2 linked regions of the Canis lupus familiaris genome follow. The protein of the gene in region 1 purifies or fractionates together with the protein of each later gene. This does not show direct contact. Links are inferred from orthologs where the notes say so. Each region holds a gene or a part of one and is shown on either strand. Other genes may lie near its edges.

Region 1 (4,589 bases):
CAAAGTCCTGAGACATATTTAAAAATTGTTTTCTCTAAAGCTGATTTTTTTCCCAAGCAAGAGAAGAAAAAATAAAAACAGGTCCTTTCCCATTATAATTATTTTAATAAATATCTTAGATCTATACAACAGAATCCTCCCTCCACCCATATCTTTATTCTGTTCACATAGAGCAGTAAATAAGGTGCATTCCTTCTGCTTAAGAAATTAGCATTTCAAAAATATGCCACTTTCCCCTGAACTCCAAGCGTGTCTAATAATGCGAGAAGCAGATTGTCTTCCCTCGTTTCCTTAATTTGTTTCATCTAAAAGCAATTCACTCAACATCTTGTCGCCCTCTGGCAGCTTAGTTTACTTATCCGCACTTAATTTCTCATTTGGACCAAAACAAACTCCTCCAAACTGCTACTGACTGCTAACCGCGAGAGGGGAGACACGCAGTATGTATTTACTTGGGAACAGACAGCCCCACGGACACAGACACAGACACACACAGCCTCACTCACACTCCACACAGTAACTTGGTTTCGTGAAAGCACTGTATTAAAACCAGCTGAACTTTCCCTGCCAGGTGCGGCAGGGGTGGTGGGGGCGGGGGGGGGGGGGTGAGGAGGGGAATAGGGTGAAGAAAGAAGTCCCCAGGGGCATTTACAGTTCCCAGTGGATCACCTTAGCATGCGTGTTGCAATTGTACCAGGGATGCACCGAGAGCTTTTCTTTGTGCGGCCCTTTCATCTGGATCACTCTGTGTTTTGAACAAGTGAGGCTCGCCTTTGTGCCCCTAGAATTTCAAGTGCAGAGTCACACACAGAACAACAATGGCACGCTAATCCCCGCGCTCTACAGGGGCTCACTTGTGGGTCTGACCATTCGCGGGGGGAAGCGAGAAGAGACCAGCGAGGGCGCGAGGCGGTGTCGCCGGAGACGAGGAAGGGGACAGCTGCAGAACTAATTTGGATTGCATTCTTTGCAGAAATTCTGAAAAGGGCTTTTCGGCATAGCTCACCCCTGAGCCACACAGTTAATACCGAGTTGCTGCGCACTCGGAGCCGGGTCCCCCAGCGGCCGAGGCTGCACCGACAGCCCCCAGTGGGCTGCCTCGGACTCGGAGAAATCCCTCTCGCCTAAGTCTGCGTGTCGGTCGCACACGCTTTTGAATGGGTCAATGTGCATAATCGACCCATTGAGGGAAAATACGAAGGGACTCGGAGTGCGGAGGGAGGAGGTAAAAGGCACGTATCTAAGAGGCCGCCTGGAATCCGCGGTCGGGGCTGGTGCGGTTCCGGCGGCGGCTGAGCGCGCGACCCGGTGCGCATGAAGGACTCCCGAGGATCGGGAGGGTGCAAACGGCGAGCACCAACGGCGCACGCTGGTGCCACTCGAAGGTCATTCTGAAAGGCTCGGCGCCTGCGACTTGTTATTTACTAGGCTAGGAGGGAAGGCGGCAGCGGCGGGGGCGGAGCGCGGAAGGCGGCGCGCGGCTCCCGGTGAGGTCAGGGGGACGCCCTCCGGGGGCCCGACGCGGCCCGAGCCCCGCTCCCGGGCGCTCCCGGGGGGCTTCACCCTCCCAGCTGCCTCCCACGCTCCCGCCACCAGCCCGGGGTGGCTCCGGAGATCCCCCCCGCTCTGCAAAAGGCCCCCTTTGGCGGCATCAGACCCACCGGCCTCCGTCCTTTCCCGCCCCGCTTTCATCCCCAGGAAACTCAAGTGTCAAAAACTTTGAGCAGCCTCGCCCTGCAGGTGCCGTGCGTGGCCCTGGCCGCCGCGGACGCCAGCCCACCCCGGGCCTCGGGGGCGGTCGGCCTGGGCCCGTCCAGGTGCCCGGGCTCGCGCCTTCTCGCAGGCGGTGGCGGTGGCGGTGGCGGAGGCGGAGGCGGTGGCGGCGCCGTCGCTCCCGCCTCGGGGTGGACCGGGTCGCGCCCCGGGTCGGCTCGGCAGCCGCGCCGGGCAGTAAACAGCGAAGTTGGAGGGACTCGGGCCAATAGAAGTTGAACTACAGGAAGAACTCTTCCCGGAGCCAAGCCGGGCGACGACGGCAGGGCCGGGCTCCCGCTCAGGGTGTCAAACCCCTTCCCTGCCCCCCCCCTTTTCTTTAGAGAGAGCCCGCGGGCCAGCGAGCTCCGTCGAGTCGGCGGCGCGCAGGCTGGCGGCCGCCCCAGCGGGGAGGGACCCGCGGCCGCACAGGTGCGCCGCCCGCCGGCTCGGGGACAGCCCCTGCGGAGCCCCGCGCGCCGGTGCCAGGCGTTCGCTCTCGGGGCGCCCGCACGGCGGGACCGTCCAACTCGGGAGCCTCGGGAGCCGCGTGTCCCGCGGCCCGCACAACCGGCAGGACCCGCAGAGATCCCGCTTTTAGGCTCCCCCGAAAACGCGGGAGAAAGAAAGAAAGAAAGAAAGAAGGGGGTCGGGGAGAAAGGAAGGGGGGAAAAGGGAGGGGGGACAGGGTCGCAGAGTGACATTTCACGGTAAGTGAAACGCAGGTACACGAAAAAGGCTAAGTTTGGGGACGGACAGACGGAGGGAGGAAGGGAAGCCAAGCCCGAGGAGGAGGAGGCCGGAGGGGCGCGGGGGGCGCGGGGGGCGCGGAGCCCCGGACACCCACCTGACTGGGAGGCGTTGGGCTGGACGGTCCCCGCTGCCAGCAGAAGGCTCACCCAGACCCACGGTCCTGCCGCCAGCTTCATTTTCTGCAAGTCTCAGATCCCGAGCTGACAATTACATGTCCAAATGGCATCTCCCCTGTCGGGCACGCGGAGGAGGGCCCCGAGTCCGGCGCGCCCGGGGCGCGGTGCACCGGCTCCCAGCTGGAGCCGCCGAGGGCGAGTGCGCGTGCGAGTCCGAGTCCGAGTCCGAGTCCGAGTCCGAGTCGGCGGGGCCGGGGCCGGGGTGCGGGGGCGCGGGGAGCCGGGGCCGGGGCCGGGGCCGGGGCCCGAGGAGGGGCGTGCGCGCCGGTGTGCGCGGGGCCGTGCGCCCGAGGGTGTGCGCGTGCCGCTCGGGGCCGGACTGGGCAGCGCTTCCCCCGTGCGAGCCTCCGCGTCCTCGCTCCCTCCTCACTTTCTCGCACTGGTTGGTCAACAATAAAAAGGAAGGGGGGAAAAGGCTTTCCAAAAAAAGTTGATTGCAAAGAGGCGGTAGGTTTCCGGCCTCTCCCCGCAGCCGGGCTATGTTGGGCTCCCTTTTCAGTTTCCTTGCACCTCCAGTCCCAACTGGGAGGGGATGGGAGGACGAGGGCGGGGGGGGGGGGGGGGGCGAGGGGAGGGCGCTTCTCGCTTCTCCCCCGATCCTGTCCTTCTTTTTCCCGTCAGCTTTCCTCACACTTGTCCGGCGGCTGCGGTAATTAAAGCTCCGAGCGTCATTTCCAACGCTCCGCGGTCTCCAGCTGCAGCCCCACCGAGAAATTAATAAGACTCCGGGAGGGGGGAAAAAAAAAAAAAAAAAGGTGGAGGGGGGGCGGATAAAACAAGCCTCCACGCAACCGGGCTGGCTCGGCTCAGCCGCGAGCCCCGCCCCCGCTCTGACCCAACTGGCCCCGCCTTTTTCCCCGCCCCCCACCCCCCAGAGGGGAATCTTATTGGCTCGTACTCTCCCCAAAATCCTCAGTCTCAGGAGTTGGGAAAACACCTGTCTGGGAGCGGGCGCGTGCTGCGGGGGGCGGGGGAGCTGGATTTAAAGGGCTCGCCCGACCCAGCCGACCGACGCCGAGGCCCTAGACAGCGGCTTGCGAGCGCGGAGACCACCGCAGGGTTGCTCACAGATTTTTTTTTTTTTTCTTTTCCTTAAACCAGAAAGTCCCCGTTTTCTCTACTGCCCCACACACAGTGCTCATCCACAGACTGGAGCTGGAAATAGAAGAAAAGAAAACGTTGCTTCGGGCATAAAGCCTTCACCCTTCTCCAACCTCTAATGCTGCTGCACACTCAGAAAGTAGTTAAAAAGGTGGTTCGGGAGCTGGGAGGCTCTGCCGGTTAGGTGGTCCTGGGAACACAATCACCCGTTTTTCCAACTATGCCATCCCTCCCACAATTCCCACCCTGCCGAACTGACGGCATTTATATAGCTACAGCCTTTGCTTTTCAGACCTCGTAAGTCTTTTTTCACCTTTTCCTTGGACTTGGGACAACTTTGTATGGGGTTCATTCTCATTAAACAGATTCTCGTCCAAAGGTATAAATGTGGTTCTAAAGGGCTAGAAACTCTCTCACTCCGCAGCTGTTACTGTGAAAGAACTTAAGGCCATACCAGGACATGGCCAACACAAATGATTATTAGGCTTATGCTACAGTAGACCCAACTTTAGGTACCTTCTGCGAGTCCACACTCCCCAGTCCCCATATCCCTAACTATAGGAGTTTCTGTGCCTTTCTTGATTAAAAATATCCTGGATTTGGGTCATATCAGTGTACATATCCCTTGCCTTTTACAGCTCTGAAACGGTACCCTGGGCAGAGGCCAGAACCTCCTGGGGGTAGTAGGTTATTGGTTTGCTATTTGCACAGGCATTCTATGTATGGATTACTTTACTTTTTATATTTCTCCAGAAGCAGAAAATATATAAATAAAAAGTATCAGGGGAGCTTAAAAATCAAGCCACC
Region 2 (3,268 bases), on another chromosome or scaffold:
TACTGACTGATCCCCCTCCCTGCACCTGGGTACATGCTAGAGCCCAGCCTGGGTGGTCTTAGACCTACAGGAGCTCTGGGTCCCTTTGCCCACCAGCCCTCTGGGGGCCCAGCCTGAGGCCAGGTGCCCAGGTCCTCCCCGAGAAGCCCCGTGAGAACACAACCTACTTTTGTGGGTACATGTTATAATGAGCCTGGGGGCACACGGCCGGGGAGGGGGCCTGGTCCATGTAGGTGGCGCTGGCCCCAGCAGAATCTGTAGATGCGCTCACAAACCTGCAGGAGAAACGAGGCAGAGCCTCAGCGGCCTCACGGCAGCAGCTGACCTGGGGAGGGCCCAGGGGGTATGGAAGGACAAAGTGCCCACTGTGCCTGGGACTCCAGATGTGGGCCTGGGGCCCTGGGTACTGGTCCCACTGATACTAAGCCCAGTTCCCTCTCCAGGGGGAAACTGAGCCAGGTTTCAGGGGGAAGGGAGGGCTGGGCCACGCAGGGCCTGTGAGCGGGAGGGGCAGTGGTGAGGGGTGAGGGGTGCTGAGGGGAAGAGAGAGGCAGTGGGAGGCCAGAGCTGGACCCTGGGTACTTACTCAGGGACCACCTGCTTGATCTGTGGCTTCACGTATCCGTCTACTGCTTTAGCTGCCAAGAGGGGGGACAGTGATGAGAACCAGTCTCTGGGAGCTCAAGCCCACCGCATGCAGCCTGCCTCCTATTCCCATCCCCCAGGGCCTTGGCAGGGATGAGATTTCCCAGACTATTCCTATAAACACCTGCTGATGGCCTCGGCCTCAGGGCCACCCAGACCCCATTGCTCACTCGCTCCTCGCCCCACCTCTGCCAAGGAAGTAAAATCAATGCCAAGCAGCAAACCCAACAACGGATTGGGGACAAGTTGAAGATGAAAAACTTGTCCATTTTGCTTCCTACACTCAACTGGCAGGGTGGGGGGGAGCGGGGACAGGTTTGAGGGTGGGAGTCCTGAGAGCAGCCCATTAAGATAGGAGTAACAGGTGATCTGCCAGTATGATTATCCTGCCTCCTTTGCCAGCACTGGTGTCTCTTCTTCCCAGAGTGCAGAAGGGAGAATCCACCCAGCTTTTTGGTTTGCAGAGAAGACAACTGGGTCAGAGGCTTTGATTTCCCTCTCGGTTGTAAGTTCTGAAACCCCCTCCATGAGTTCTGCACCAAGCCATGGACCCAGTCCACAGGGGAGATGGACCCTGGGCTCCTCCTGGGGAGTCCCCGCTGCCTGGCCCCAAGAGCTTTGTCTACAGGCTGAGGAAGGGCCCAGGACCATCAGGGTGAGACACACCGAACACAGGAGTGTAATACTTGGAGAAGACCTCATCCTTGGGCCGGTCGGGAAATACGTAGATGAGATAGTTCAGGTCCCCCAGCCGGTCCGCCAGAGACCGGATAGAGAAGTCGCGTGTGGTGAACGGCTTCAGGTTCCACAGGTTGCGGTCAGCTGTGAAAGGGAAAGGCTCATTCCCACCACCCACTACCCTCAGGGGCAGGGGCATGGGGTTTGAGATCAGGCTTGTAGAGACATTTGGGGTTTTACTAGCCTGCTCTGACAGCCCACCCCTTGTCTTGTGCTCCTCTGGCATAGGGGTGAGTAAGTGACCATGGGACCATTCTACCCAGCGAAACAAGCAAGGAGATGCCAGGAAGGCTAGGTCAGGGCAGAGAAAGGAGAAGAACCCAGAACTGCTGAAGAACTTCCCCAGCAGCTCTGGAGGCTACGGGGCCAGTGATTTTAGGTTCTCCACAATGGAAGATGGTAGAAAGGAAATTCAGGTCAAGTCTTTCCCCTGGTGAAACCTTTTAAGGATGCAGATGTCATGGAGAATGGGGAGCAAGGACATGGGAGCCCAGGTTCCTGGGGCCAGAGTGTGGGCAACATAGAGCACTCACGAGAGTCAAACTTCCAGGCAATGGTGATGCCCCCAATTTCGGAGTCGCTAAAGCGCAATAAAAAGGTCCCATCGGGCTTGTTGATGAGCAGGTCATGGGCCTGTTGCTTATTCACAAAACCTAGGATGGCCCTGGGTGCATGAAGCATAGAGTGTCACTACTGGGCCAGCGTCTCCTGCTCCCTGAGCCCATGGCCTCCCAAACCCTGGGCCTCTCCATTCCTCACCCGTCATTCCAATGGGGCTTGTGATGCTTCTTCAGCACTTCCATGACCCCATCGAACCACTGCCAGAAGGTATAGTTCCAGCCGGGCAAGTTCTCCTGAGAGCCCCCAGGAAACCCTCAGTCAGTCAGGGTTTGTGGCCCGGTCATCACAGGTGGCCCAGGAAACAGTCAGTGCCCTCTTGTACTCACACATACTCTCAATTCCTCACCTGACCTGCCCCCCACTCAGCAGTCCCTAAACGGACACAACCCCAGCCCGTAGCCTAGCGATGGGACAGTAAACCCGACTCTCCTCTCAGACACAGAGGTTGGGGGTAGGAAGTGCCCAGAATTCTCTGAGCTGGACGAGACCTCCAAAGTCATTTCTACTATAAGGTACAGGGGGGGAAACTGAGGCACAGAGCCGTGAAGGGCCTGGCCATAGTTAACAGATCTAGGACAGGGATCCTGACTCCCAGCCCCAGGGTCCTTCCACTGTCCTGCTCTGGCTCTTAGAGCTTAGTGCAGTTTCTCATTGCCCCTTCCTCCATTCCCTGGGGTATTAGCTCCTGTCTCTCCTGGCTATAGGAGAGGGCAACTCAGGATGGAGGGTGGGGCACTGACTGAGGCCAGTAACCTGTCTGTGAGGTGGGGAGAGACTGGCAGGGCATGGGTGGTCCCAGGCAGGCAGCTGGAGGCAGTTCCCTCACCCTGTTGAACTGGGACCAGGACACCGACATGCCGTTATAGTCTTCAAGGTGGCTGCTGCTGCTGTTGAACAGTTTCTGCGCCAGGAACACGAGGTTCTCCTTGGTCAGGCCCCGGTTACTCTGCACTTCGGCCTTGAATTTCATGTTGAGCGCCTCACACAGCTGTGGCCACAGCACTTTGTCAGGCACGGCGAATGGCACCCTGCCCTGAGAGGGAAAGAAGAAATATTTATACACACACACACACACACACACACACACACATACACACACTCAGATACACAGATACCACTCGAGACAGGACTAAGAAAGATCCAGAAAAGGAGACACAAACACGAGAGAAAGAAAGGCAGGGTGGCAGGGGCAGAGGGGTGGGCATACGGTGATAAGAGACCCAGACTAGGAGTCTGGGATAGAGATCAAGGACTCAAACCACAA

Evidence for each region.
Region 2: the proteins of ERBB4 (region 1) and STAT5A purify together in Homo sapiens (affinity purification with western blotting; 3 studies listed by BioGRID, with this or other methods). This does not show direct contact. The link is inferred for Canis lupus familiaris from reciprocal best matches to the Homo sapiens genes ERBB4 and STAT5A.

Annotation. Positions count from the first base shown.
Region 1 is NC_049258.1:19,996,422-20,001,010, forward strand, and holds the start of ERBB4 (receptor tyrosine-protein kinase erbB-4), read right to left. Parts: upstream 2,842-4,589; 5' UTR 2,682-2,841; coding exon 2,600-2,681; intron 1-2,599. UniProt on the Homo sapiens protein: Tyrosine-protein kinase that plays an essential role as cell surface receptor for neuregulins and EGF family members and regulates development of the heart, the central nervous system and the mammary gland, gene transcription, cell proliferation, differentiation, migration and apoptosis.
Region 2 is NC_049230.1:20,492,644-20,495,911, forward strand, and holds part of STAT5A (signal transducer and activator of transcription 5A), read right to left. Parts: intron 3,038-3,268; coding exon 2,831-3,037; intron 2,238-2,830; coding exon 2,143-2,237; intron 2,048-2,142; coding exon 1,917-2,047; intron 1,468-1,916; coding exon 1,312-1,467; intron 639-1,311; coding exon 587-638; intron 276-586; coding exon 168-275; intron 1-167. UniProt on the Homo sapiens protein: Carries out a dual function: signal transduction and activation of transcription. Mediates cellular responses to the cytokine KITLG/SCF and other growth factors. Mediates cellular responses to ERBB4.